2 linked regions of the Drosophila melanogaster genome follow. The protein of the gene in region 2 interacts with the protein of the main gene of each other region in a pairwise test. Each region holds a gene or a part of one and is shown on either strand. Other genes may lie near its edges.

Region 1 (17,462 bases), 7.1 Mb from region 2:
ACAGCAGTCGAACGGCCGAGCAGTCGAGAATACGGTGAGTAAGCAGTGCCCGTTGGCCCAAAGGAGGTCCGAACAGGAAAGGCATTTTGGCCACATGCGGCGCGTATTTGGCCAACAGTTTTTGCACGAGACAAACCACAAAAATGCAGCTAAATGTGCGGAATGTTCAGACCAAATCAGTACACAAATCAAATGTCGGCAGATATGGAAACATATGTTACTTATTCGATGGAAAAAAAAATTAAACTATGATAACTGACAACTCACAACTAAGATTTGTGACATACGGTAATCAACTTTTAGTAAAACTACAAAAACATCATATATTGCAGCGATCAAACTTATTTTAACTTTTCTAAGTTGTTAAATACTAATCTTATTTATAATCTTATGTATATTTCCCAAGATTACTTAAAAGAAATTAAAGTATTTGTTTTTTGAAGAGTATAGCCCACTTCGACCTAAGGGCCCGCACTCCTCATTCGTTGTTAACAAATTGGACTGCATCATAGAAGGAATAGCAATCCCATCGAGCTTCATCCATGCTCACCACAAACCAAGCGGCAGCACTTACTTAAAATATTAAACAACGCTGAGCCGTTGTTGCCCTCTCGACGAACATCGAGCATCGAGCACCGGGCACCGAGCATCTGGAAATCCACATTCGAGGTGAGCGGAGTTGGAGGAGCTGCATAGATCCAGTCCAGACGCAGACGAGTCACATGCCCTCTCAAGTGGCCGTACAGGCGACAGCCCAACAGTCCACAGGGGGATTTTCTTAAGGGGCAATGGGCTCTCGTATTTAAATGTGTATCATGGCGATGGTCAAGTGAAGCGCATGCGTTGATGGACTTGAATTATATGCGACTTAAGCTCTGCGGCTGCTGTTGCTGCATCGGCATCCTCGGCAGCCAGTGCCATAAAAATTAAAAGTCATTATGGCCTGGAACAGCATTTAAGCCGTGGCAAGGCGAGTGTCTTTCTGAATGTGGGGAAACGACGGCGACGCAGGCCGTGGCACATTCCCACAGTCCCACAGTCCCAGACTCAGTGAAAGATCCCGGGATGGGATGTGATCGGTTCGGTTCGGTTCGGATCGGATCGGAACGGAAAGACTCGAGTGTCGCTGGGCTGTCAGAAAGTGCCATGAGACGGCAGCCACATGCGTCCACTTGGAGTGGGTTAATATTTGTTTGCTTTATCATTTTGAATTGACAGCAAAGTGGCGCTTGTTGCTCTTGTTGGTGTTGTTGTTGTTCATTTTTGTTGTAAGTATCGTTGTTGTTGTTGTTGTTGTTGTGGACGGACTCAGCGGGCGGGCCGCGTCGAAGGCTCAAGTTGTTTGTTGTCTGCGCGCCGATTATGGAAAGTTGATGACCAGCAACAGCACGTAAAACACCATCATAGGTGAAACATCGAAAGCTGTTCCTTCTCAAGTGCTTAAGGGGTCTTAGAAAATTGCACATTTTTATCTTCGCAGGGTTTTCAATTTCGAAATGTCAATACAGACAGCCATACAGTATACAGTACTCCCTTTTTGTTATGCGCCGCTCGTGGCCAAATGCCGCCCGGCCACAAAAACCGCACGCGGAATGCTGAGACCGCCGGCAGCCAGGGGTTAAAGGGAGGGCCGGAGGGCGGGGACCGGCAAGCAACACTTCGTTAAGTTGGGGCCAACATCAACGTCAACGCCTGTGCCGGTTAAATAGATTTTCGATACTCTATATAAGTGCCATGCACACTTTAGTGGGTTGCTTTGTCTTTACCTACATAATGCTTAAATTGATTATGAAGCTTACTACTATTTTTGTGCTCAGCAGCCTTCGTTTCCATTAGGCCTTTTTAATTACTATAATTAGTATTAGTGTAAGCTCCAAACTACAATTTGGAAGGGTGTCCATCGCTTCGTTGTCCCACTAATAAGCCAGTCTCCTTGCCATTCGATTTCGGGGTCGCCTTGCGCACTCCATCGCTTGGCTTTGATCTGCGGATGTTGCAGGCAGGACGGCAGGCAGTCAGTCAGTCAGTCAGTCCGGGCCCAGAGGTAGTCACACGAGCCCCATTCCGTCTTGTCCGGTCCCTTTTGCCCTCCTTCCAACGCAAACCATTCCGACCAACTGCAGCAAATTGAAAATTGATTTTTGAGCAGAGCTTGGCGCGCCAAGTTCGCTGCCTAAGTCTTTCGTTTCGTTTCGTTCCGACTCTTTTCGATGAGTCAAAGTACACGCCGTGAAATTCCCACATAAATTGCGCGCGTTGTCAAATTAAAAATGCCTAATGAGCTGATCTCGGACCCAGTCGCAATGCAAAAGAGCTGAAAAATGCATTAGAAGCAGCAGGGATCGGATCGGATCGGATCGTAGGTCCTATATATACACCCTTACTCCTCCGGTCGGCGGCGGCGAAATGTATCGTGTTACAAATCACGGCGGGGGAAGCGATGGCAGCGGCAGGAGAACAAGTTTCGAGTGGAAATGCGTGTAGCGTGCAGCGTGCGAAACACTGCAGAACATGGACACGAATCGAGATCGAGGCGAAAGCCTGACGCTGATGCAGATCTCCTCCCCGTGCTGCCCTTGTAAATGTCCATCTAAAAATAGTTGGGGCCATGATGATGGTGGCGCGGGTCGGAGGCATGAATTTGCCAGCATGAAAAATGGCAACACTTTTGCGCTCATAAAACCTATTTATAAGCCAGTCAGCCAGCTACCAGCCAAGTTGGGTCACCACATCTTCACATCCACCGATATGCCCGCCAGTTGGCACTGTAGTGTGCTCCCTCACAATGCTGCTCGGCGCAGGCGCAAGCGCGTGAGATCGCCACGCAAGATCAGAAGGTAGAGAAGGAGATAGGAGGTGGAGGTGGCAGGAATGGTAAGGATGGCAGGCAGCAGGCAGCAGGCAGCAGGAGCCCATGGAGCCACGGTCCAGTCCAGTTTGAGGCCGGGACCACACAAATACAGGCACGCGTTCGCTGACAGAATAAAAATTGTTGCGCTTGTGTTTAACGCGCGAACGCGGCGATATCGCAGCAACAGCAACGGCAGCATCCTACCTTGTTTCAAACTGGCTCCCTGGACCTCGGTGGCTCAGGTTAAAGTGGCAGTGGCAGAGATGAGATGGTGCACTGAAAAAAAACAAAGTTGTAAGGGGAGACCACCCAGAATGAATGGATTAGCTGTGATGCTAACAAAATAATATGTTTATAAATAATAAATAATAAAATGTAAAAGAATTTTAATAATATTTCAAGATATCTTCGCCAATAAAGATACTAATTTTTGAAGAAAAGCTGATCGAATGGGTTGATTGGTTTTTTTTTATCAGTGCAAGGGCAGGGCAGGCAGGCAGCCGGGGCATTGTCGGCTTGCTTAGCTATCACTGAACGATTATCGTGCATTTTAAAATTCTTACGAGTTTTGTGCTGCTGATGCCGATGTTGCGCTGCCTTTTACCTTTTTATATTGCCCTTTTCTCTGCTGCTCTTTGTTGTGGCTGTGTGGCTGGGCCAGATTGAAATCACGCATGGGAACCAAGCGCCTTGGCTTTGTCTTGTCTGCAGACTGCAAATAAAAAAAAAAAAATAAAAAAACAAAAAAAAAAATGGGCAAAAATTGCGGCATTCTCATCAGCAAATTAGGTAAGGAAGGCGGAGATGGGCAAGTTGCTTTAAACACGGTTTTATTAATCTTCATTTTAAATAGTAATTTGTTTTTATCAATTTGTTAATTGCATAGTTTACATAGTAGTAACTCTCCATAGCAAATGCCTATATAGAAACTCCTGCTGTCCGCTCGATTATTGCCAACACTTAGGTTCGTAAATATATATATATATATGTAGAGGTGTGTATATATTTGGATTGAGGCAGATGCTTTTGTTGCTTTTGTGGTCGCCTTGGACAAACATTTGTTCTCGATTTCGAAATACATAACTAAATTGCTACACAATTTGCTTGATAATAATTTGATAATGCTAGCCATAGGTCATACGTAATATGTATATATAAATATTCAAATATTTGTATTCATATCCTCTGTGGGGCATAGCTAGTTCAATAATTGATTTGTTAAGGTTGCATTCACTACAAATGTGGAAGGGTGTTTTTGAATCCGAGTCTATTGTTTGTTTGTATCTTTTGTCATTTCAAACATTACAATACTAATTTTCTTAATTCTGTCTCTCTCTAAATATACTCGTATTTAATTATTCATTCTTGACAATAACTTTAGCAATAACACACAACATTGCCCGGTGAGGCGAGGAAATAAAGCGAGTCGTCTCTACAAAATGGAAATAATGATGCGCAAAATATCATCGTTAAGCAAATATTGTTTTTGGTCTTTAAGTTTTATAACATCAGGGGATGTAATTTAATTTATACAGCAAGTGATAAAATTGATTGCTATGACCGCGTTTCCGCGCCAATAAATCCCCGATAAGAAATTGTATAAGTCAAGAGCTTTATTGCATCTGACCAGTATCGGCGCATCGGTATTAATATCATTCAACTCCATAAAATCGGAGGTAAATAAAGAAAAGATATGTAAGCTTAAACTGAACTGATCAAAACTGAAGTAAGATTTAGCCGAGACATGAACCGCAAATTAGGCATACAATTTTCATAGATATTCTATATATGGATTAATATATTTGTCATATTTCCTATAGCCTAGGCTAGTTGTAAGTTATAACTTATACAGAGCTGATGAATTTGTTCGAATCTAGTTCAGCGGTTATTTCTAGTAAAAGTTTCAAATTCTGCTTATTTCATTTAGGTCTTGACACACATTTGTAGTATTCTAGATAAAAAAAAAAAACAAATTATTTAAATTGATTCCACTTAGTTCGTCGAGTTTTCACTTATTGTGTGTGTCTGTGTGGGCTTGGTTCGCACAAAACTGCATAAATCCATTCATATTCATAATTGTTGTAGACAAGTTTAAAATACTAGACAGTACTTTCGGTTGCAAATTGCTCGGTCTCCGCGATTTCATATTTAAAATTCCTGTTCGGTGTTCAGAGTTGTCATGTTTTGTTTTTTTTTTTACGCTATGCTTGTTAAACCTTCAGTTACAGTTTTCTACAATTTGTTAATTTATTATGAATTAACTAGTTGAAACAATTGGTAGCAAACATTTGTTCTTAGTTCTAGATCTAGAGAAGTAATTGCCTTTGCTTTTGTTACTCGTTTGTATTTCCTCTGGTAAATTTTTAACTGAGAACCCTATAAGCTAGCTAATAATTCAATTTGATAATTTAGACATTTATTTACTTGTTCTTTTTTGTATCCTTAAGATTTTGATGTTGTTCTGGTCTACGTGTTTTTTTGTTTTTTGTTTTTGACAATTTGTTAAGTATGCTACGTGTGTCCATATCTCTTCCACTACCAAAATCCTACTTCTCTTGCCTTTTGTTTTCTAAATGGAGCTGGAGCTGTACAACATATTTTATATTTTTTGTCGTCATTGTTGTTGTTGTACATAAAGTCAAGTTGGTTTACAATTTGATTTGTTATATTGCTGTTTGCTGTCGCTAGCTTGCGTTTATATATATAAATATTATTTTGCGTTTTTTTTTTTGTTCTTTTTTTGTTTTTTATATATTTCTGGATCACATATTCAAGTAGTTTCAAAATCACATAAAAATCACTCTTACAGTAGCGTATACAAAATACATGTGTCATCTATAAATATATATGTATGTAACGTACATATACTTTTCGATCTGGTTTCTGTTTGATTCTTCACAGTTGAGATGGCGTGAAATGGATTTCTTGACATGTTGTAAAATTGCTTTGCATTGGTTTGTTTTGGAATGGGGTTGAAAAAACGCGTAGTTCGATAGACATCCCATGTACATCTCGTGGAGATTCATAAAGTAAATTAGCAAATCTTTCAAACTGTGTCTCCGGTGATGAGAGTCAGTGATATTCTGAGAGAGGTATGCATTCAGTTTTCAGTTTAGTTTGGTAATACACACAATAGATTTGCGACTCAACAGCTCCATTATAAAACCAATTTTCTCATTGTTTGTTCTCGTGATTTTTAGTTTTTTTGTGTACACTTGTATCATAAACTATTAAAGCATTTATAAGTTAACACACAATTGTTTATTGTTATATTTATTAATTATTTGTATTTCTTGCTGATTTGGCTTCTACAAAACATAGTACAAACACACACAGAGATAAGAGCCTTTGCGCTGCCTTTCCTAGTTAGCTTTGTAATAATATAATTCAGTTTTTCATTTGTATATATATATTCATAGTGTTGCTTTTGTTTCAAATAAATGCCTATGTTGATTTCATATTCATATTCAATTCATTCCCAGAACAGTTTCATTTTGATTACATCTTTATCAATTCAACTCAACTAGCTAACAACACGTTTCAGTTTCATTCAACATTGTCCAATTGATTACGTTTGATAATTTTAATTCGCAGAAAAATACAATGGTTTTTGAAGACGGTTTTACATTAACTCTGGTTAACATTTTCATTAAACTCTGTTCATTTCGCTGTATCGAGTTACTTTTATTGTTTATGCTTTCAACATCACACTCATCGAATCTGCGTTCAAATTTCCCATAAATATATATCTGTTCATATTCGTTCTTGTACAATCAGCCAAATGCTGGATTTAATATGACTTAAATACTACGTTTTGACATTGACGATTCATTTTATGCTTTTACTAATTTGGAAGCGTCCAGTTGAGACTATGAAAGTAAAATGAAAATTGAAGTCATCTGCAAAGTAAGTACTTAAAGCACTATTCAAATCACAAAGTAACCTAATAGATTATATACGTAAGTTGATAATTTTGTGACTGGTTAATTGGCATTGGCTTACACGAGCTGCACCAAGGCCTAAACAAAAATCAAAGTGTTTTAATACATTCAACTTGGTTTTCAATAAGACAAAATGAAATGAACTTTCGATAAGGAAAAGCGTTGTCGCCTTTAGTTACTTCTCGTTTCAACGTCTATAATTACTTTTGTGCATTTGAAAAAGGAAAATAAAAGCTGAGTACTGACTAATATTGATTACCCGTCAGTTACATTGATTTTATGACCATTGTCTTGGCTTTTAGTTGTAGTTTGCATTCACAAGTTTGAAACACATACATAAAAAATACAGTTTGAAAATCGGCTTATATAAAATCACTGGTGGTATTTGTTTGTTTGTGGTTGTTTTCTGCTCTTCTATGCGACAATATATTGTTAAATTTGTTGGTTTCTATAAATTTGTTAATAGTCAATTGCTAAAAGTGTCTAGAAAAATTAATATATTATATATTTATATATCTTTCATTCAATTACATCTTGTAATTGTTTAGTTCTCATAATTTCTTATGTAATACTAGTGAAAAGTACAATATGACTGAAAGTGTAGCATATTTAAATACAAATATAGAGATACATATGTGGTTAAAAAAAAAATAAATGAGACATTGCAAATTCGTGCAGTAGATTAGAAAATATGTATGCCTAAACATTGAATATTAAACAAAATTAAAAGAGTTGGTTACATAAATCATAGTACAAAATCAATTTAAAATGTTTTTTCCTGTATTCGATTCGATATGAGAAAAAATAAACAAAAATAAAATTACATACTTATTCGTTTAGAGCAGCTAGCTAATTCAATTAATAGTTTGTGCCTAGTAATTACTAATATTCATGACGATAATTTGCATATTTTGAGTAGATTGAAAACATAAATTATATATTCCCTGCCACATGCACAATTAGTAGGCATGTGTCAAATCCTAACTGTTCAAAAGTTTCAACGTTTTGCTTAAGACTAAAGTTTGCTTTGTGAGTACCACATTGTCATGCTGTTCGCGGTCTTGATCCCCATGATCCATTCATATCCCATCGGAATCCCCTTTCCCATCCCTATCCGATTTTCAGCCAAAGGGCCACTTGTGGTCCTGTTGCTGATAAAACATGTTCTAGGTGTGGGTGGTTATTACCGGCACCTGACAGTAGGGACACTCGGTGACCGATTCAGCGCATGTATTGCAAATAGACAGGTGGTTGCACGGCTCCAGAGTAACCGTGCGATTGTTCTCCTCGCACTTCATGCACTTCTTGGCATTTTCTAAATATAATACTTTGTCGACCTCCTCCAAGTCGGTGCGCAGCTTGGACTAAAATGGTAGCAGGTTAAAACCCATGGAATTGGGAAATTAATTAAGCGACTAACCTGCAATTGCTTCAATTTCTGTATGGACAAGTCCCGAAGCTCTGCTGGCAAATTTAGCTGTATCTGTGCTAGGTCATAGCGCTCCTTCCACTCCTGCGCCTCCTGCTTGGCCTTGTCCCGATGGAGCTCCGCGATCTTTAGCTTGCATGCCATGTCCTCGAAACGTCCGTTCAACTTGTGAATTTGAGCATTCTTCGTGAGCAGCTCATTGGTGATGCGACCCAAGTCGCTGTTGTTTTGCGACTGCAGAGATTGAAGGCTAAACGCATTCTTGGCCGTATTGAGAGTGTTCTCGAACAGACTATTTCCCACCGAGCTGCTGTTGATGTCGTCGCGTATGGTATTCAATTCGGATATCCTTACCGAAGGACTAATCGACAAGCCATCGCCAAAGCCAGGCGATATGATGCGCGACGGAAAGAAGAGACTGCTATCGTTCTGGGTGGCCGAAAGGGAATTGCTGAGTTTGTTTGAGCCGCCATAGTTGAAGGCGTCCACGTTGAAGAGATTGGCATGGTTGGTGGGACTGTAGGTGAGCGAGCTGCTGGGAATGTTGACGGCAAAGCTACCTGAGTTAAAATCTGTGCAAATGGAATGGAGTATTAGCATTAGCAATTAGTTGGCACTCATAGGACGTTGATGACTACTTACCGTTAATTGAGTTACTTAGAGTCGTATTAGGAATGTTAATTGGCGCCGAGGAACGTGTTAATAAGCTAGTATTGGCCAGACTCGCCGACAATGAGTTCTCGCGCGGATCGTCCATTGAGCAAGCTGCTTGCAAAGAGTGAAGACAAAAAATTATTGAATTTCAGTTAGGCTAGGGGTCACGACATTTGCTATCTAAGCGCTGACATTCTTTGTCCACAACCAAAACGAAGAACTGATTTCTAGTGTATAACTTAGACGTACGCATGTCAGGACTCTGGGATACTCACAACGACTGTCCAGGGGTCGTGAGAAACTTAAAAATTTGCTGAAATTTGTTGTGTTTTCCAAAGCGTCTACCAACATTTTATTGGTGCTATTACCATCAATGTTCAACAACTAAGAGAACAAAACGAAAAGAAAAAAATCGAGGAGAGCAGGACACATGATTAAATGGCTTATCGAAAGTGTTAAGCAGTTAGTTGATGATGGTTAGCTGGATTAGAGCGGCAAACGATGTGTGGTAGTACGTTTAGGTTTAGGCGATGCAAATCGATGGCGTTATTTGGATGAGTGTTATTGCTTCGGTAATACGTACATTATCGACCCTTTGAAACGCATCCTGAGCTTTTAAATCAGGATAGGCATTGGAAATAAGCTCGTTTAGGTATACCGTGTGATCCCGCGTCTTCTCGTCAATTGAACATGCTTTATTTGGATTGGGAGTAGTTACATGGACAAGCAACACCGAGCGGCAAAGCAAACATTGATTGATGTACGTGTTTTCAAAGGATTTGAGTGATAGTTGGAAACAGATTTGCGGTTTGATGGATGAGGCGAGTAAAAGACAAACATTAAGTTAGAACTGTAATATCATAACTTGGCCCTAAACACATCCCTACAACAACTGGTTGTGGAGCACAACGCTGAGTCCTATATATTAGCTCATCGAATCCTCTATACTTACGTTCCACATGGGCAAAGGCGCAGAAGACGCTGCGCGGACAGTATCCGGCCTGCTGGACATCGTTGCACTTGGTCGACTTGTAGATCTCCGGGTGGAACTGCTGCTCGGTGCGTGTGTGGCAGTACTGGCAGTTATCGCCGGCCTCGCAGTTGCCCGGTTCTCCCCATTCCTCGCCGTGCTTGACATTGGGGCAAGGAGTGGACCTAAAACAATGGTATATCGCGGTTTAAAACTGACTTTAGGATGAATTCAGGGGAAATCTTACCTGTACTTGTATTTTCTGGGCGAGCGACGTTTGTCCTTGCTATTGTGGTACTGTGGACAAGCGTATCCTTGGCGGCACAGGCGCGGTGGGCGCTTGCAGGGCTCTGTCTTGTAATTGGCCAGCACGTAGTTGGTGTCCTGCCACTTGGGATCCTCGTTCATCAAATTGCGCTCCTTGTCCAGGGCATTCAAAGCATTAGTGCTGTCCAGTGTGCTCTCTGCGTTCTGCAGGGTCTCCAGCTCTTTGATGTCATAAACCGGTGGGCGCTGGTCCTGCATGCCGTGGGCGAAGGCGCAGTGTAGTCCATTCTTGACGCAGTATCCTCGGCTGTCGGTGTCGTGGACGCACATGCATGTCTTGTAGTAGCGCAGATGGTATCGCCTTTCGGTGTCGCCAGCAGTGCGGTGTAAGTAGGGGCATCTAAATGGGGAGAAAGGGAGTTTTAGTGACGTCAAAGCAGGCGACGAGGCTAAGTGAATGGACTGTATGATACCCATTAATTAAAAAGAACCGTAACAAAAAACAACAAAGTTGTACATTTACAGCAAAATCATCATTTTAATACATGTTTGAGGGTATTTCTTTAATAAGTAAAAGAAATTTCTCTTTCAAAACTAAAACCGCTTTCTTTCCACCTTCGTACCCTGTAAGGAGACTACAACGATAAATGGATAGAATGGAGGTCGGGGTCAGAGGTTGGACCTCGAGTCTGGGTCATAAAAACAGACATTGTTGTTGTCTCTCGCAAAGCGTAATTGCGTTTTACTTTTAGCCCGTTCTTACACTTCACAGAGCTTTTCTCCAAAGCTCGCCAGCCACAATAACTGTACATTTCGAAGCTGCCGGGGGAAAATCAAAATAAACGAAGAAGAAAACACGCAAAAGCGAAACGCAATAAAAACAATGACGCACACACTTGTAGCGATGCCCTACGTCTGTGCGTGTGTTTGTTTGTGCGTACCTGTGTGTATGCGAGCGTCTGTGCATGTATACATGCGACAAGAGAGCAACAACCACCACAAAACGGATGCTGATAAGAATTTGCTAGCCCACTAGAGCTGGAATCACTTTCACTTTTGCACGGTGGTGACCTCGCCTGCACACACATACACATGCACAGAGATACAGCAAGCAGCACGCCCACATACGCACTTACAATTTCACTTTTGGCTTTCCAGACAACGCCAGGCCCCTGCCACCGCCCCCACCACACCCCCCTGCACACAAACACACTATGGTTTTTGTTTGTAAACACGAAGACAAGAGATACACACACATCGCGAAGGAAGGAGAGCGCAAAGAGGAAACAAAAAAAATACAACGTCGTTCGCTATTGCTGTCTCATCCATCCTCCGCCACTGCAATCGTCCCGTCCAGCGTTTTCACGGGCCATCAGAAACTATGAATTTCACAACATTTCTACTCACTCGTCGCCCTCGGGACAAATCCCAGTGGTCTCGTCGTATTTGGTGCAATAGTTATCCGCACTGTAGTTGAAGGTGCCATCGCGTTTTCGCACTGGACGACGCCGACGCTGGTTTTGAAAATGCCAATTGAAACAGACGAAGGGGCGATGCTGGTTGCACTTGTGCTGTAAAAACGACTGGCACTGCTCCACGCGGAACTCCTTCAGGTAGCTGAAACGGTTGGCGGAAAGGTTGCACGTCAAATTAACCATCGTTTGCATTAGTTAGCATCTATTTACGTGTAGTGATTTGGTTTTTCCTGCTGCGAGGAAAGCAGCAGCTTGTTCGTTTCATTTGCCAACATCGTTGTTAGTGATGTGCAAAAAACATCGGTGCGTCGGGCATCCATGGCCTTAAGTCGATTGATATCGATAATTTTTGTCGGCATCGTCCATATCGATTGGTTAGCAAATACACACACCCCAGTTGATGGGTGGTTAGCCGGGACGCAAACGAAACAAATTTGGCGCCAAAATTAATGCGAAATTGTTATGCATGTGTTTTATTTATAACAACGCCTATATATTATAACACACATTTCAAAGGGAAAACATTTCGAAGAAGGAAAGCAAAAGCGTTTCTAGTCCAAGGGTATGGGAATGAAGGCGTTGATTCTGTCCGTCTGTCGCTGCGCTATGCATTCGCTAATCCAGACGATATTGCGTACCTCCAACTGTTTAAGTTTAATGAACGAGTAGAAGATCCCGAAATGGTACTGCTGCAGGAAGGTCTGCACATTCTTCTTGGCCTCCATCATGAGAAAGCGGTCCTCCAGCGTAATCATGCCGTCCGAGTCGCGCTCCAAATTGTCAAACATTTTGCCATAGCCATCGAACACATTGCAAACATCCCTTATTTTATCCGTATCATTTAAAGTGGACATGGAGGCCAAGGCTATTTTGGGCAGGTAGCCACAGGTGGGGAACATCTTTAGACGCTCCTTCGGTCTGAGTGTTGGAAGGTGGGCATTATGAGTATAATATGAAGAATTTCATAGCAACACAGATATCTTACATGATATCACTGCCAATAGCGTTCACAGCTATTGTAATGGTCCGACGATCCGCCTCGAAGGACAATAGATTGGTCATCACGTTGGCGGTATTGCCGCCCAGTTGGCTGCAATAGGCGTAGAATTTCTCCAAATAAGCACGATACAGATGGGCACGCACAATCTCCACGTCGAGGTAACGCAACGACTCCATGGGCAAATCGCGTGGCACAAACCGAGCGATGGGCGTGTCAATTAGAACGGCGTCGAAGAGCTCCGCAGAATTCGAGGCCACTTCGATGGCGCCCAGTTGATCGAATTCGCCCAGCGGATGACACATTCTTAGCAGACGCTTCATGGATCGGTGATTGTTTAGGCCAGCGACCAGAAGCGCCACATTATCGATCATGAACGGATATCGTATGAACTCCATAAAGGTGGTCAGCGGCTCCGTCGAATGACTGCGTATGTAGTAGTATTGCTGCAGCAGACGATCCCTAAGGCATCTTTCGATCACCTCAACGGACGGCGCTGATTGTTCGCCACCAAAGATGAGACCGTAATCCGTGCCCTGGATGCTGATCATTACGTCCTCGAGGGATTCACACTGGGTCAGATTTAGATAGTCCGAGTGCTTTAGCATGCCGTTCTTGAATCCGCGCGTTAGGGCCTCCAGGTAGCCATACTCCGTGTTGAATATCATCGACATTTTGACTTATTATTATTTTCGAGCTATCTATTAGTAGGAATTCACACGCCAGGCAACTTTTAAGTGAAAGCAGAAATTGATAGATGGAACATGCGGTGATAGGTATTTCTCGGATGAACTGATTCTGATATAAATACTAAGGATTCTAGATGCTAAAATAATATTTATTAAGCTACAAATATATTTATATATAATATTTAAATATTCGGTGGCGGTATCTACCGATGCACGCTAGATGGCGCTACCGATGGTGCAAGGCTGCCATTCGTTTATCCTTTTTGACAATATGGCAGCGCTCTAACGGTTTTTTAAATTTTAACTTTAAATTTGAAAAGATATTATTTGTTTGGTTTGTTCGTTTTAAAGTGCATCCAACTAGATTATTTTAGTTATAAGAAAATGCACCTAGTTAAAGCTTGCTATTTGAATTTCAGATAGCTATTTATCGGCCCATTCTAACGCAATTTCCGCACATGCGCCTGGAGGATGCTGTACGGAAATTACCTGTTGCTCTGGGCCATTTGTTTACTTGCTGCCAACTCTGTTTGTTTACTCAGTCAACTAGCTGCGCTCGGGCCAATAGCATACTAACTGCAAGTTGTTACACGTTCATTCAACTAGAACAAATAAACATGTGAATTTCTCGCCCGGCCTTTGTTTTTGATATTTCTTTGCCTTGTTAGTGTCGCCGCGTGTGCATCGCATAAATGTGGCAATAAAACGACATTTATTATTGCTACCGAAGCATTTAATTGCCCATCACAAGAGGGTGTCACCTTCTCACGTTGCATTAACATCAAAATGAACTAATTCCTACTGGCAGATGAAAAATGGAACTGTCACCAAAGAAATTCTGCCTTCTGGAGTTGTGAATGTGCTCAAAAAAAAAAAAAAAATGGTAAGTATTGTACTTAAATCACGAGTTTCACCTGTTGCCTTTCCATGTCGTCAAAGACTTTAAAGATATTTAGACAAAGTCATGGCAGCTGACAAAAATCGGTCGATATGGGCAATAAATAAGATCACGTTGTGCAGTTTAAAGTTGGCATTGGCCATGTCACTACCGTAAACTTTCCATGCGGAAAAAACTTAGGCTGCATTCGTTCTTTGTCCCACAAACACAAATCCCTGGACATGTGGCCGTCAAGAAGTCCCAATCGCGGGATGGACAAGTGACGGCTGAAATGCGCTTCCAACTCATATTGCTTTCAACCAAAACAGAAATCATCGCGTGGGTAGCATTTTTTCGCATTGGCGAATACGAATACAATTTTCACGAAAAATATGTCAGCCACATGATGAAAGCAGGAAGTGTTCAAGATATATACAGAAGAAAGTATTGTGATGTATTGGCATATCAAAGATAGTCGAAAGGTGGAGATACAATTATTTTACAGAGATATTTTGGCGCTTTTGGCCGTCACACTCTTTGCATAGATGGCTCGGTAGATGTAAAAGCCAACTGCTGCATGAACTGCAACTACGGTGCAAATGGTCGAAATAATATCGGCATTGATATGGGCATAGCTCTTGAGCACCACAAATTTCAGGGCAAAAAAGGTGGCTATGGGAAAGCCAATTATTAGGGAACAGTAGGACATCAGCAGCAGGACAATGAACACGGATCCATGAATTTGGGTGTTTGGTGGCATCAGAACTTCCCACTCCAGCTTCTCCATGCTCGAAATCTCTTGAAGGAAGATCAGGCGCAGGATATAGCCCGTGACCAGGACATGCATCACAATTACCGTGGCTACGCCGGATCCAATGCCCACATTGTCATCGCTGTTTCCGTAGAGCGGCTCCATAATCAAGAACTTGAAGATGACGAAGATCACCACGGGAAACAGAAGGAAGACGGTCAGAAAGAGCAGCAGTCGCTGCATTCGTTCGACGAGATATTCGGCTCGCCTTTTCTGGAAGGGAATTTAGCGGACTTGGATACCGAAAGGATTTTGATTAGCTTACCTTGACATTGGAAACAAGTTCAGCATTGTTCAGATCCGCTGTGGAGCAGGGAGCGAGGGAATGGCTAACCACCTTTCCACTGGGATAAATCTTGCGCAGCTTGGCAATCATTTTGTCTATATTATATTTAACTTAGGATATGCAACTCAATGCCTACTTAAATTATTGTCTACGATTCTCAGATAGTCGTCTAATAATAGCACACATATTTTAGTTCAATAAACTTAAATCATTTTATTAGCAAATAAATATGATGCCCATAAAACTTGGCATACAAAAACAAGCCCAAGTCATTTTGGGCAATTAAGAGATCAGCAAACATAAAATTTTTTGCTGAACATAAAGATTGCCACCATGCGAGGCAGAAATATCTGGTCGCATGACTGGGGCGACATGACTATATAGTAATTAAACTTAACCTAATCACACCAGTAGCCAGTAGCCAGAAAAAGAACTTCGTCAGATTAGATATGTGTAATTAGCCAGACGGTGGAATTCGGGTAGAGCTATCTTGACCGATAAAGCCCTCCAATCAACGTCGTGATTTTTATAGCAACACTTGACTTAAAAACCGCGCCCTCGATTTATAGCAAAAGATTATTTGTGGGTCAGCTGACTGCAAGGGGATCGGTTTTTTCCCTAGCGAAATTAATTTGCCAGCAATTCATAAATTTAGAATACTACAAATCAATCGTTGGAATTTTCATTGACATTCACGATTCGGTTGTCAATTTTTCACAATTATATTGCGCATTTCGTTGGGTGTATTTTTTAGAGAAATTAGCAAATTTGAAGGCCAAAATTATTGTGAAAGATTAACATTCCATTTATTTCTCAGTTATTCACAAGAAAAGCATTTGGGGCTCATAAAGATTTAACAAACATAGATTACCATAAATCTTTGACGTTACATTCGCTTTAAATTAATAATCTTATCTAACTTTGAACGCACGTTACTCATACGCAACGTTGGCCCATTGATTTGAATGCAGAGCAGACTTCCTGGCTAAAAATAAAGCAATAGAATGGGAATTTTATGAATACGCTTATCCAATATTTTTCAACTGTTATGTCTGTGAATCATGCAAATTTTAGACCAGCCTCTGTTATCACTCAAAAGCAGCTGCTCTATAAATAATTTCGAGCGATAAAGAGACGGCATATTTGTGTTTTGGTTATTCGATCAGTTTGGCCTTTGATGCCGTTGCCAAGGGCTAACGCGGCATCCGAAAATAGCCAGCTTTGGTTCTTGTTCTAGCCAATCTTTATGGTCTGCCAGAGAACTGGCCCCCATCCAAATGGCCAACAGCTGTGTGAACAGCGGGAATGGCGTGAAAATAATGCAAATAATGAATATAATGAGAATTATGCCAAGTTCGGTATGAGAATCGGGTCAATATACCACAACCACTTCGACAGGTTGACAAATGGGTCTCGGATAGCTCATTAGTGTGGGTATGCTGGTCATGCAAATTGCACGACAACTAATGGCGAAACTATTTGCAATTCAACTCCCGCGGGGCATTCCACTCGCCCAATCCCAATCCCAATTCCAATCCTTCCGGTTCCATTTCGAAGAGTGTCCTTCAACCAACCGAACCAAAGCTGCTGTACTTATGTATGCATGCATATCATCGGCTTGCAGCTTGCTTCTTGTACGCACATGTGTGTACGGCAATTATGGTAATTGCCTTGTCTGGGCATCCGCTTCCCGTTGGCGTCCGTTTGTTTGCCTGGCCATCCAACCCCAACCAGACCAGTGGAGAGCACCGGATCGGCCAATTCAACCCATCCCGTCCTGCCTGACCTTGACTGCAGTTTCCCCTATTCGCTGGTTGTTCGAGGAGCAATCGGACTCGCTTTAACCTTGACAAACACGTTTTCCGTCACTTGAGAGTTGACCAAGTTTTATTGGTTGCCTTTGAGTGCAGCTGGTGAAAGTTTGCCCCCTTTATGCGTTTCCAGGATACAGCTAGAGAATTCTATACTTTTGTGACCTTCGATTCTCAATTATAAGTCGCTGGCCACGGGGCACTTTTATTGAAAGTGCCTCGGCAAAATCTTTTAAATGCTGCTCGTACTGTTTATATTGTAATTCAGTTGTTGGTGCTGCCATTAGCCATTATCCGATTTGCATACAAGGGAATTGTTCGAATGGGCGATGCAAAGGATGTTGAGCGATTTAAGTGGATTTAAATTCACATCCATCAGCCAGGAGTGGCGGTCAAAGACACGA
Region 2 (14,533 bases):
CTTGATCGTAAAAATAATTTGCTTTTATTGCCCAAAAACGGGGCAAATGATGTTGCCGCTGTTGCATGCGCCCAAAAATGGGAATGGGAAGGAAAATAAGAGACTTTAATGCGTTTTGTGTCCTCGTCATGCTGCTAAAGTCGGGACCTTTGTGCCTCCACTGGGCTCCCCATCTTTAATTCGCATTATTTTATTTTTACCCTTTCTTGGTCTGCAAAATTCCGCAAATCAACGCCTCAAGCATCGAATTTTTTTTTTTTTTATTTATTTTCGTGTGCTGAAAGCCATTGACATTTGCCGCACCGCCCAGGCACTTATTCAATTAAACAAAACGCAATTGTTGTTAACACGAAACATCTGCATCTCTTTCCTTTGCGCTAGCGCCGTCTCTTTCGCTCGCCTGTGGCATATTGTCCCAATCCAAAGTCATGAAGCGTCAAATTGTTATGGCCAAAAGATGGAAAAGATACAAATGGCAACGGTTATCGCACAACAAGCGCAATCGGTCGTGTCGCAGGAGCTAGATGAAGATGGTGATAGAGACAGTCGTAGTGCCGAAGAAAGAGACCGAAAATGGGCACAGACAACAAACAAACAAGCAAGCAACAAACGGACAAACTAAGTGGGCGGGGTAAGCACTTGCCTGAGTGCAACTAAATAGATATTATATAAGCATAAAGAATATGTTTGCCTTCAGCCACGCACCCACGAAGGAAAAAACACAAAAAAAAAATACCAGCTTGAGCTACTAGAAAAAAGTTAAGACATTGCATGACAACTCTTAAGATATCCTGTAAAGCATTATTATCTCGCGAATCAACTGCAATCGTTGTGAATTTTGACCAGGCGATGTATTATAGCCCCATAAAATATGCTACGAAGTACTAAGAACTTGTAACTAACCATCTTCAGAAGGAATTCCAAATTCTTTAAGTTGAGAACTTTGGAAGACTTATATACCCTCCTCCTGAACCGCTGCTACAGGGTATTGCAAATGGTAGAGAGAGAACTAAACAAGCTAATAATCATAAAACCAAATGACTTTGAACGGCGTCGAAACGCTGTCCTTTGACAGGATGCATGGAGTACAGATGAAGAAAAGGAAACTGCAGAAGAGGAAGAACAGAAGAGGAGGAGGGAAAAGCGTGAAAAAATAAGACGAAGCGCTGTTGGGGCAGGGGAATCATCAACATTATCGTCAGAGTGACGATTAAAATTTAAGCTTCATTTGTTGCTCTTGTCTGACTCCTTCTGTTCGAGCGGGGAAATGGGGGGGGGGGGAATGGGGGGGGGGAGAAATGGGGGAGGTTGAAAAAATAAGAGAGTGATTGAGGGTTTTCCCTGACTAAGCCAAGGAGACTGTGATTGAGTAGGTGTCAGAAGTTGAATGGGCAATGGGGAAAATGGGAAATATGGCAAGGGTTAAAATGTTGCAAAAACTGCCAGACTGTCAATTTTCAATTTCTCCCACACCCCACTCCCCCCCCCTTCCACGACACCCATTTAGTCCATCTAGCCGCTTGCCAAATGAAAATTGCAACTAATAAACAAATAAACAAGACAAACCGGCGGAATGGCAGAGGAAAACGAACTGCAAGCGACACAAATTGCAAATGCAACACAAAATCCCCATGCAGTTCAGGGGCCACCACGCCCACAAAAGCCCGAATGCATTCACAATCAGATTGAATGGGCAAAATAATAGGGGTAAGTGGAGACCTGAAGAGAAAGGGGAGAAAGTAGGGAGTTTATTCAATGACAGGGTCAGGGGCAGCAGACAGACGCCGAATGTGGAATCGTTTTAATGGATATCAAATAGGAAACAAAACAAACATTCCCACACAAATGCATAACAGCACTGGGAGAAAAGTACTTTGAGTTCAATGCAAAAATATTCAAAGTATTTCCAAAGTATTTCCATATCCAAAGAACAATATGTATTAAGTTGGAATAAACTATGTTTTATTGCCCAAATGAAAAACATTGCCATTGTTTTCCTACAGTGTACTCCGATAGGATCCCAACTGCAGCAGGAGCGTTCCAATCAGAACTCCAGCTGGGGCCGAAAGAGACCAACAGATAAGGCGCGAGTGAGAGGGGAGAAGGAGGAGCAGGACAACAGTTTTGTTTCATTTGCACAAACATTTCATGTTTTGTGCTCCGTTCCTGTTCTGTTTTCTGTTTTTCTTTTCGCTTTTCAACTTGTTCATCCACGCCCCCTCCGCCCACTCCCTACCATGCCTTTCATCCTCCTTGCTCTTTCATTTCGCCAGGCTCGTTTTTACTGTTTCCACTCTTCTTTTTGCAATTTTTTGCACGTTGCGTTTTATTTTTGTGTCTGGCAGCTGCTCGACAACAACAACAATATTGATTGCAATTTCAGCCTGCAGTGGCAACGAGTGGAGTGCGACGGAGTGCGGGGGGGGAGAAGGAGTTGGGGTTCTCTTTCTCATTTCGCTGAATGGCCCAACACAAAAGCCTAAAAGCACACACACACACACACACATTCAAAAGGCAGACAGATAAACACTCACACACGCCCAAAGCTTGGCTTATGAACAAACAGACGACATCATGCTGGCTGAAATGGGGAAGCAGTGCAGCAAGCAGTGCACTGAACGAAGGAGTCTGGTTCCTGAGATAACGGCAAAGGTAACATGAGTGATTATCACATGTTAACAAACTTCAACGCAAATCTAAAACTAATTTTAGCATTTAACTAGTTATAGTACATACGGACTTAAAGTTTCATAGCCTTCATTTCAATATTTCGAAGAAGTGAATTGCTTCAGAATTTTCTTCTTCAACTTGGGTTCACCGATATTTTCCCGTGTAGATTTAAGTTCTGCATAACAGAGTGAGTGAAAGAGCGAACGCAGCGGAGAGGGACGGAAACTGCTGAGCCAACGAAGCCTTTAAAGTTGGCAAAAAGCCTGCGGATGGAGCCACACACATGTGCGCCACATACAGATGGATGTGGCTACGGATGTGGGTGGCAAGTACAGCAGGAGGTTCCAGGGAAAAACGAGCGAAAAGGAAGAGGCGGAGATGGAGTTGCCCTGGCATTGTCTGTTGGCAATGAAAATACGACAATAATGACGTCGAGGGAACTTTCCGCCGGAGAGTCATGCGCCGTTCGATAGACGGGCGCCCATAGAAGGTGTGGGTGTGCGGACTGCTGCAATGCACCAGTTACAGTGGATATTAAAACATCTACTAGTATGTTTAAGGAATATATGGAATTTAAAAACATATGAATTTTATTTACTTTTCTGATTTTGATTCAACATCAGCCAAGCTATAATACTCAATTTTAAATATAATCAATTTATGAATATCGTGACCAATCTGTTTGCAACCACTGTGCAGGCGCTACCCTGTGTTGCGCATATGTTTATTTAAGTTTCAGTGTGCGTGTCGTTTCGGCAAAGATTTCATTAATAGCTTTTGCGGTTGTGAGGGCGGAGGACCAAGTGGAAAACGAGTAAGCAATGCATACTTGATTTGATATTCAACAAAAGGTGTGTAGTTCCCCGGTTCTCTCTACCCCCACCCACTCTTTTTTGCACAACTCCTTTTCCCTAGGTGGCTTTTTCATACAAACCCACCCCCACACCCTTCGCCATTTCTCCTACATTTCTCTTCTATCTGCCCACACATCGTTATGCGCTTTAATTTGCAAATGGTTTTGCAGATTTGGTTGCGGTTACGAATTCTGTGGGGGAGTCTGCCACAGTGGTCACCCGTTGCGATGGAACTACTCAGCGTGTCCGAAACAAAGCTTTGCCGAACAAAAAGTGCCTGATGTGGCGCGACTTTTAATGTTTCCTCAATTTGACTGCCAAAAAAAAAAAAAGGTCGTTAATTGCTGAGCCGCCCCTTCCCCGCGCCGTTCTTTTATGGATCCCCTATGTAAATATAATACATTAACTACACTTTACGAAAATGTTTATTTCCATCTTAGAACCATAACTTTATGTTGTATACTTTGCTATTATAATCTTTCTAAGCTACTCCCATTAAACGATCCCCAAAAACCCCAAGTGATTTTTCCCCGTGCCTTTTGTAACCCCGTAACCTCCTACATGTGCCCACATAGCCATGTGCCCACATATAGCCATCGAGATCCAAGTCGCACCATTTCATTTCATGCTCGGCTGACGTCGTCTTTTGTTTATTTATCAACGCCGAGCGAAAAGTGAAACCTAACCTCACACAGTGTATGTTACTTACATATCTATATAGAAAAGTATATTCAGAAATCAGACAGAACCTATTCCAATACGCGGGGCCCACCAATCAGCAGAAAACAACAGAAAAACAAACGTCATCGATATGGATGTGTAATGGGGTTCCGCGTTAATAAAAATTTTACAGTGCAGAACAACTTTATGCTTTAAGTCTAGACGACAGTTTTTGGAACGTGCTCAATTAGTACTCAGCTGTGGGGAGTATGGAAACGAGAGGGGGGGGGGGGGTGAACTATCGAGAAAAACAAACACAGAATTTAAAATTAAATTTTCGCTCTGCCTCATGACTATAATTCACTCATATTTACTACGGAATACAGAAACCCCGGGGCCCACAGATAAACTATGCACCGATATGGCTATATCGCTACCTCTTTCTCGCTCCTTCAAATCTTCCGGCATCCAGCTGTCTCACTCTCGCAGCCTTAGTCAGAACAACAAAAGTCGTGCGAAAGTTGTTAATTTTCGCTATAGTTTTGTTTTTCACACCATATCACCGCACTTATAACAGGGGGATTGGCGCATATTGTCTGAGGCTTTCAAAACAAAACTATAGAGAGAGGGTTTAAGGTGACACGACTATCGGAATACCCTAAGTTCTGATGATACAGTCTGAGAAATATGAACCTCTGCCTTCCTATGTTATGATAATTAGTGATGATGATTTCACCTAGTTGATAGAATCACATTGTATCTGCGATATGGTAACATATGTATGTATCTAAAAATAGCAACTAAATGTATCTCAATTTACTCCGTTACATCTCAAATTGCCAGCCAGCTAGTCACACCCTTTAGACACCCGTTGCGTTTGGTATGCAAATGCAGGACGCCGACTTTGTTGCTACTTTGTTTTTATAGTCTGTAGTTGCACAAATTGTTGTAGTTATTCTATTCCCGGCGTGCCTTTCGCAATTTATTTGCAGTTGTGCGCGCTGCTGTTGCGTTTTCGAACTTTCGGGAAAGTATTGCGGCATTTTTTGCAGATTGGATGAAAATCCAAGTAATCAGGGGGGTGGAATGCTACGCCCACGTGAGAGTTTTGGGCCTACGAATGGCAAAGTATTTGCAGACAGCTAACGAAAGACAGAATGAGAGATAGAGAGAGAGAGAGAGGCAAGCAGGAAGAGCTTTCTGCAAAAAAGACGGGAAACTGGAAGAGGCACAAAAACAAACAGACTTCCGCCTCATTCACCCACCGAAAATGAATACATAAAATGTGTCTTAACCTTGACATTGGACGCTAAATACAAAAAAAAAAGAGGAAAACACAAATATGCCGGCAGACAAAACAAGTTAAAAGAGCGTAAGAAAGAGAGGGGACGAGCCGAACACATTCATTCATTAAACAGAGACGGCAAATTTAAAGGGAAAGGCAAGAACTTTTGGCTTTCCTCTTTTCTTATTTTTTTTTGCTCACCTTTTTGAATCAGCAAAGTTTGTTTATCATGGCAGCAACAACAAAAATTAAATAAAATAAAAATGGGCCGCGTGTGGCGCTAAAAATAAACGCCAGTAAATGCAAACAAAACAAGAAATGAGAAATGGAAATACAAAAAAACGAGAGGCGATAAACAATTTTATGGACGTTTATTTTTGAATTAAACGCAAATCATCACAAAAATGCTGATAAGCAGGAACCAAAAAAGAATGCAAGAGGCAAGAAATTGCATTTGAAATTGAGAGAACACCGAAACTTGGATACCCTAATATAGTTTAAATAGAAAAGGATCGGCCGAACTAAATATAGCTTTTACTTAAAAGCTTTTATAAAAAAGCAGATTTTACTGTTTATCGCTAAAACAGCAATTCCGCATTTTAGGTTAAAAAAAAGAGACATGCAAAAAAAAAAGTGTGGCCTTGAAAAGTGTGCAAAACAGAGAGTGAGATAGAGAGCGAAATCCAGAAGAATGAATGGAATTATGCCATAGAAGGCAAAACAAAGTTCTCAGCTTGGAAAGAGAGGGCAAGCTGCCGCGCGAAAGAGATGGACAGAGGGTGAGGGGTTGGGATTCTTAAAACCTGAAGATCGCGTTCAAAACAACAACATTAAAAAAAAAAAAAACACAAAAAGCGATCTAATTCCTCTTCGTGTTGTTCTCCTATTCGCATTTTTTTTTTTTTTTGATCGCAATGAAATAAATAATAGTATTCGCTGCTCTGGGAAACGGAAATATTAAAAGTAGGCACAAAATAAATAAGAACAAGAACACATCTGGGAAACATACCATACGATAAATGTCCGCTGCTATATGGCAGCATATAAATTTCAATAATTTTTCATTGCCTATGATTTATGAGTAAAAAGAATGCCAATGAAGAGTGAAGAACTACAGCAGAATAAAAGAAAGAAAGCCTTGACCCACCGAAAGCAACAAAACAAAAGATTATAATATTTTATTCATTCCCTCTGAGTTGATGCAAATCGTCGACTTCCTTAAGGGGAAAATATTCGCAAATTTCTCGAATAAACCAGCGCATTTTATTTAATATTTCTGCAAATATTGTCTGTATTTCGCAGCTGTTCAGTCGTCAAGGTTATATAATCTATGGAACCGGCAAACGAACGAAAAACGGGCAAACAAACGCCTCAATTGTTGATAACACTGTGCAACACGATAAAGGAACGAGAGTATCAATCTGGTATCTATTTGGCATGTTTGTTGATAACACCTGAAGCCACTGGAAGTTTTATCAAAGGAAAAGCTAAACAAAACTTATAACAACTGCAGTAAATAAATTCGAAATATTAAGGCCCCCCTTGTCGTTCAGTGTAATTGATAAAAGTTTTGTGAATAAATATTGAAACGCTTATGTACCCCAACCACATGCTGGGGAATTTCGCCACACAAATTTCGCTTTGTTAAACAAGTTAACCAAGTATTTAAGATGAAATTCTAGACAATAAGACTATAGCTCCTTATAATCTATATGGTTATCATGATGATATCTTGTACTTACCGCACTCGATCGGAATAGAGTTCGACCTCCTTGTTCTTCTGCTGCTGCACAAGTTGCTGCTGCTCGTAGCTGGCCAATGGCTTGAAGTTGCTGATATTGGCCAAAGCAGGCAGGTTATTCTGCTGCTGCTGTTGTTGTTGCAGCTGCTGCTGCTGCTGCTGCTGGGGAGCAATCAGCAGATTCTTGGACAAGCCCAATCCATTTTGCAAAAGGTTGCTGCCGAAAGCTGGACCCAGAGGCTGGATCAGCAGCGACTGCTGCTGTTGCTGCTGCTGCTGTGGCAGCAATTGCTGCACCGGCGACACGGATATCTCGCCACTGGACTGGGAGTCCGAGGGCGAGGTGGATCCACTGCCAGCTCCACTGGAGGATAGGCTGCCAGCCCTGGCGCGCAGGTCCAGGCCGAGGACATTGTTCGTATTGAGGATGTTGCTGAAAGTGGCCAGCGCACTGGTCTGCAGAACGCCGGAGGAGCCGTTGTTGCCACTGCTGCCATTGCTGGCGGTGTTGCCGTTGTTGTGGGGCAAACCCGACCCTATGACGCCCACATTGGGATTGGGCGTGAGTCCGGCGTAGCTGTTGCCGTTGTTGTTGCTCAAGGGGGTTTTGGTGTTGCCATTGACACCAGCACCACCACCACCGCCGCCGCCGTTGTTGTTGTTGTTGTTGCGGTTCCTCTTCTTCTTGGCCTTCTTCTTGTCGTCGTCCTCGCTGAGGCTGCCATTGGCCAGAGTGGGCCGGTTGCCAGACCCGTTGAGGTATATGACGCCCTGGCTGCTCGGCGGCACCCAGTCGAGGTCCTTGCGCAATTGTCCCCTGCCGCACTTGCAGCTGCAGGCCTTCTGGACCAGCTCGTAGCCCTTCTTGGTCCACAGGTGCTGCAGACGCTGCCGCTCCGACCAGGATCGAGCACGACCGTTGGCCTTCAGTGCCTGCAGCACGCTCGCCTCCCACCACTCGAAGCACTCGCGATGCATGTACTGGCCTGCGCTGCAGTTCTCGTTGTTGCACAGCACACGGATGCAGTCCGCCAGGGAGAGCTCGTTCAGGTGTATCAGGGTGTCCAGTTTGCGACAGTCTCCGCTGGGCAGGCAGCAGTGGACCATGCCCCCGCCGCCAACGCCGCCAACGCCACCGGTTCCCTGCATGGGCGCCATTAGGACGCCTGAAGAATTCACGTTCTCCGCGTAGAACTGCAGCAGTTGATGCTGCTGCGTCTGGTGCTGCTGCTGCAACTGTTGCTGGTGCTGCTGCTGGGTGCTGTTGCCGCTGCTGCTGATGTTGCTGTTGCGACGCGGAGCCATAAATTTGTGTTTTTTCCTCTTAATATGCACTCGTTGCGGCGAAAAACTTGGTTGGTTGGCTGGGTTGGCTGTCCTCGAGAATCCTCAATCTCTATTTCGAATCAGCATTTTGCCAACGATTATGAATTTCAAAATATTGCTTGTTGATTTTTTCGCGATTTTATGGTGCGATTTGCGGTCTATATAAATGCTGCTGGCATATATTTATTTATTTTTGAACCGATTCCAGAATATATTTCAACTGATGGTTTTGGCAGATCCAGTGAGTTTTCGTGAATTTTAGTGGGTTTTTGTAAATTTTTAGAAATTTTGCAGACAAAAGTCTGATTTTATACGGAATTTAATTTTTTTGTGTATAGTAAATGCTTGTTATTTTAGCGATTTAGTCTGTTTAGGTTTTAACTTTTCGGTTGCCTTTTTCAATTGTTTTCAGTTGGATTTTCCGAGTGGGTTTCTACCGAGATTGGTATTATTTTTAACTTGATGGGTAATTGCTTTCACTTATTGCTTTAAAAATTGTACACCTCCTTGCTGTGTGTATCAAAAATACTTCGAAAAATTCCCGTCAATGCAGTCTGTTGTGTTTTGCGTAATTTTCTGTTTTGTTGTTGTACCTGAGCTGAGTTTATTGTTGTTGTAGAACTTTAAGTATCAAAAATTGTTTTTTTTTTATTGTTTATCTTCGCTTCGTCCCTATCTCCCTCTCACACGATCGTTCGCTCTCATTCACACACGCGGCGCCATGTTCGGCAATTTTTCACATTTTGCTTCGCTTTCTGCGTTTATTTCTTTGCGCCTCTTATTTTTTTGCCGGCAAACAAAAAGGATTAGAGGATAGTGTAAATTTCCGATTGGTTTTTAGTCGCAGGACAATTGTAAACTGGAGTGTTCCTCTTCGATTTATTCGGTTTTGCTAGTTCTCCTGTTTTCCGTTTTTTCCCACCACGAGCGGCGCACGCAGAGAGAAGCCAAAAAACACAACCAACCAGATCGAAAGCGAAATTCAAACTGTTTTTGGTCTGTGCTTGCTCGCCGCGTTCGAACATCGCGCGTCGAACATCGCTGCCGGCGTCGCTGCTTGGCATTGGCAGCGAAGTTGGAGTTTTCCTCCACTCCGATTTTCCGCACTTCTTCATTCCGTTTTTCGGGGTTGGTGGGTGGTGGTTGGCTGGTTTTCACTTTCCACCACCGCCGCCAACCGCTCGCTTTTCATTCGGTGGAAAACTGAACAGATTTTTGGCGCTAAAATGAGAAATGGTGGGGGAAAATTGCGGAAGGGGCTACAAAAAAAGTGTCTAATTCACTAGAATTTTCCACTGTAGGCCAGAATTTGGTACATTTTCCCACTTTACAACGGAACTTTTGATAGCAGTTACATACTTGATTAGATTAAATGTCTTAAAAATATATGTAGGAGTTTAGACTTTTGTTAATAAGCTTCATTTCCATAGAAAATGTTTCTATCAAGCCGTATTTTCTTTAAACTAATAAGAATAATAATAACATGTTTCTAACTTTATAGCCAAAAAGGAATATATATTTCTCCCTATGTTTTGGTTCCAAAATTAAATGAATTCGATTATTATTAAATAATCTAAATTTAATTATTTATTAGAATTTTTAGATTTTACATCCATTTCATTTACAATTAGGAGCTCTCGATGATTCGCCAAAATTCACTTTCGTTGCGGCTCGAAGCTGGTTCGAATCAAGTTCGAAGCCGGTCGTTTCCCCTCCAACATGTTCGACTGCAGTTGCCATGCGAACGTCGAGCGCGTTGGCTCTGTTCCACATGCATGGAGCGTGCATATGTGTTTGTGCCAGAAACCGGCAAAGTAAACAACATGAAAACAGGGTTGCCGAGTCGCTGGAACTCGAACTTGCAGCGCACTTTTGCTTTCCGTGGCTAATCTTTTAATTCCAGTGGAAGTGGAAATGCCGTTCGATGTCTCCATCTCCCTCTGTCGGAACTGCCGTTCTCTGTCGCACGCTTCGATTGCTGTTATATATTTACATACAAACGTATCTATATAATCCCCTATATATTCGCAAGCACATTTGCACAAAAATACAAATACAATGAATGCATGCGAGTGCTGGCAATAAAAGTGGCAGAGACAAAAAGGAAGAGAATTAAAACATTGAACGAAAAAGAGTTGAAGATACCCTACCTTGAATTAAAACAACCAATTAAAACTTGAATACGCAGACCTATTACTGCTTTCAATTGAAACAAGTATGTACATATGTATGAATAATTGTAATAGTTAAATTGTTGATATTAGTCCTAAGATTACGAATATCGCAGGTAACTTTTGTATTATGACTACTTATTTGTGTTTTGACTGTAGGGTATTAAAGTTGCCACCAAAACCCAAATAAGCTTTCAAACGTAGAGCCTTTTTATTGTATCCTCGCCTTTGTGTATATATGTACATACACACATATAAAAATTCCCGCTGTGTTGCAAAAAAAAAAAGTATGCGAAAACGAATAAGAAGAAGCGGTAGAAATGGCAAAAAACAGGCACGTGTAGAACGAAAAGTGGTAAAGGGAAGGGATCTCGCAACCAGATGGGGTTTTCTTATAGGACTCAGGATCTCAGGATCCGGGGTTCTATTCTTTTGGTAACTGCGGTGCAAAGTCAAGGTCCAATTCCACTTATTTTCGAGTCAAACTGCGCAGTTTCCATTTTTTTCTCTCGATTTTGACCTGCCGGGTAGAAGAAGAGCGAGCAGGAGGGAGAGAACCAGAGGGTTCTGATATAATAATTAAGTCAGTCAGGTAGGCAGATCGGCAGCCATTGCGTAATAGGATCGTACGTACGAGTATATTTAGGTATGCATGTATGTAATTATGTATGTATAGGTTGTTTGTTGTTCTAGCTAAAGGATCGTCGGTGGAGAGGGTAAAAGAACAAAGGAGGGGCGAACTAGTTTGTTGTTGTTGTCATCGCCGCTTTATAATTCTCAAGGATTTCGCTTTGTGTTCTCTTCGACTCTGACCTAATTTTAATGACCAATGCATAACGAAAAAATAATAATAATAAGAAGAAGAAGATGGCATGTGTTCAAAGCGAAAAGGGAGAAGAGAAGAGGAGAGAGTCTGAAGCCGCGGGCAAAAGCTGAGCTCATAATTCTTCGGCGACACGCATCAAGTTTAATTTGCATAATTAATGGCAATGCAGGACTGCAACCCTGGGGGCCGAAAAAAGAGTTGCCAGGTCGTTAAGTTATGTTTTTAAATTAGGAATTAGGTATGAACCTATGTATGAAATGAAATGAAATTTCATAATTATTTCTATATTAGGCTACTGCCTCTAAGTTCCGATCTCTAAGCCATTTTAATGGGTAAACTTCTGCTTATTTATGTCCCATAACTTCAAATATTAAAGTGATGCCTGTGTGTGTGTTCTTTGCAACTTTCTGCGTGTTTCTTCGCTTCCTGTTTGGCTTCTAACCAGGGTGTGAAAGCGGTTTCTTCGAAGGAGGAACTTCGCGGTGGCGTAAGAGTATCTGCAAGATACTCGTTCGGATGGATAGGCAAACCCAACGCGAATTCCCTACCTCCTCCCTCCCACGTTTTAGCCATAGCCATCCATTTGTGCAGGCCTTTCCTTGTGTTTTTCGCCGTTCCTTCGCTTCAAAAGTCCCGAGGGTGTTTTGGGCAGATGTGTTCGACACCCACCCGTACTCCTCCATCCATCCAAACCCTCCTTCATCACTCCGCTCCTCTGGCAGAGCAGCATTATTTGTAATTACTCATACTACCGCGTTTATCCAATCGGAAGCAACTTTGAAACCCAAAATAGGGTTTGAAATTCAACTGGCATGGCAACCCGACTCAACCTCAAACCGTTCAAACTTCGTACATAGCGGTAAACATAATACATGCCAAATATATAGCCATAAAAAGAGACAAAACGGCGGAGAGAGTCGTGTTTTTCACTCGACGGAGGGTGTCGTAATTTCGTTTCGTTGCCAAAAATAACCCAAACTCCATTTTGTTGCCACTTGTCGACGGATGCAGATGATGGTGGATTCGTTAGGCAAGCAGCAGAAGGGTCCAGAACTCCGGCTGCGTCCCTTTTTGCGCCTCTTTTGGGCGGCTGGGGGCTTCAATGTGGGTCTGATTCACGCAGCTCTGCTTACATAAGCGAAATGAAGTCAGCATTCGCCCTATAGACATACATATTCCCACTTAACGAACGGATGTGCTACACTCCAATCGGATTGAAACCATTATGTCAACCAAGGAAACTACATACAAAGTATGTAGTTGGAAAATATTTCAAGAGTTTTCTTGATATCTATGAAATAAAGTTTATGGGTAAAGAAAGTAACAAATACATACTTAGAAGCCTAATTTAAGGTATTAGTTCCGTTTCTATACTCATTAAATCAATTTTTAACATAATGAGTGAAGGTTAGTCCTAAACTATCAAATTTAGCTTTATAGGAATGATCATGAATGTATGAAAGCACTTCAAGGAGTATATATGGCATATACATATCAAATATAATAAATATCAAAAATGCTTTTAGTCAAATGATATATACCAAATATGTTTTATTTGTTTGGTGCCATTCCTAAGGGCAGTTCCATTTGTTTTCGAGTTCATTTTCGGGGAGTAGGGGGTTTCTACGTTCCCTCCCACTTTGTACTTTATCCTGAATCCTCCTTTTGTGAATCTTTCTCCGTGACGCCAAGTGAAAGTGAGCGAGACGGCATATTCGAGCTGAAATTTCATTTGTCCTTTGTGGCAGCAACCACAAGGATAACGGTAGGGGGTGGTAAAAAGAGAAGAGCCAGAAAAGAGGAAGGAGTAGAGGCGGATGAAGAGGCGCACGCACTTTTCGGTTCAGCATTTTCGGGGTTATTTTTTATGCTGGTACACACAACTACAGACATGTATGGGTAATAAACATACAGGGTGCTCCGCAAAGAAGATTCCATAAATTTCAGCTCTGAATTCGTCAGTAGAATGAGAGACTCCGCCCACTCTAGACCAAACAAATGTTTTCACCAGGTAAAAACGAACAGGTAAACTGGAAAATGAAGTCGGAAAAGTAAGTGCTAAAAAGGAAAATGAAAAAATTTAACAAATGGCGTCCGCAGTGCCTAAACTATTTGAATTCGCCATTTCTCATGATTATGAAAGGAATTTAAGGAAAAAATAAGTTTAAAAATATCTAGATTAACGATTATTTGTAAAACAGCTCTTTAAATTAAAAACACATTATAAACAAAGTTCTTAGTGCGGTTTAAAGAAAAAGTTGAAATTTAACAATGTTTCTTTGAAAATAAAGTAATTTTTTGGCTTTACTTTTGGTTTTTATCCTTAGAAAATTATATTTTGTATGGCTTGCACATGTCTGTGCACGTTTGAGCGTTTGTATACCGATGATCTCATGCCACTCGTTTTTCTTATTTGAGTTTGGCAAACTTTTTGTTTGCCAGACTGACCGAAAACTCCCTGAAATTGCGATGTGACCAAGTTTGATAAGCCAAACACAGAAACACATGCAAATATAATGCAATTTTCGCTAACACGCTGACCTTCAACATCAATTTGCGAAGAGAGCGGAAGAAGAGGCGAAGAAGCAGACCCCGGCAGCGAAAAAAAAGAAAAGGAAGTGGCAAATTGACAGAGAGCTAAAAATACACACACACACACACACACGCGCTGATCCACTAATACCAGTGCAAATCGAGCGATTTTATAACATGAAATTGAAATTTGCTGCATGAAAACGAAATTTGCAACATGCCGAAAATGAAACGCAGTCGCTGCCGTAGTCGCAGTCGCCGTCGCTGCCGCAGTTCGAGTTGGAGTTGCAACAACCGCAACCGCGAAGGAGCGTGGATGAGAAGGAGCGTAAGAGAGAGAGAGAAGCGAGAGTTGCGCGCGCATTAGAACAACAACAAATGCATCGACGGCGTCGACGGCAGCAGCGCTGCCCGCACTTCGGTTTTCAAGTGCAAGGTGCTTGTGTGCCCCACCCCGCGCCACGTCCC

The links.
Region 1: the proteins of heca (region 2) and unk interact in binary tests that used the Drosophila melanogaster proteins (3 or more experiments, as listed by UniProt).

Annotation. Positions count from the first base shown.
Region 1 is NT_033777.3:23,145,982-23,163,443, forward strand, and holds unk (unkempt), read right to left. Parts: upstream 11,882-17,462; 5' UTR 11,863-11,881; coding exon 11,798-11,862; intron 11,730-11,797; coding exon 11,520-11,729; intron 10,513-11,519; coding exon 10,093-10,512; intron 10,031-10,092; coding exon 9,828-10,030; intron 9,569-9,827; coding exon 9,459-9,568; intron 9,260-9,458; coding exon 9,151-9,259; intron 8,990-9,150; coding exon 8,864-8,989; intron 8,794-8,863; coding exon 8,213-8,793; intron 8,157-8,212; coding exon 7,959-8,156; 3' UTR 6,111-7,958; downstream 1-6,110. Other genes in the region: VhaAC39-2 (vacuolar H[+] ATPase AC39 subunit 2), read right to left, coding at 12,139-12,505, 12,573-13,258; CG13829 (uncharacterized protein), read right to left, coding at 14,650-15,174, 15,227-15,337. UniProt on the Drosophila melanogaster protein: Essential for late larval/early pupal development.
Region 2 is NT_033777.3:30,272,926-30,287,458, reverse strand, and holds the start of heca (headcase), read right to left. Parts: upstream 9,528-14,533; 5' UTR 8,516-9,527; coding exon 7,212-8,515; intron 1-7,211. UniProt on the Drosophila melanogaster protein: Required for imaginal cell differentiation, may be involved in hormonal responsiveness during metamorphosis. Involved in an inhibitory signaling mechanism to determine the number of cells that will form unicellular sprouts in the trachea.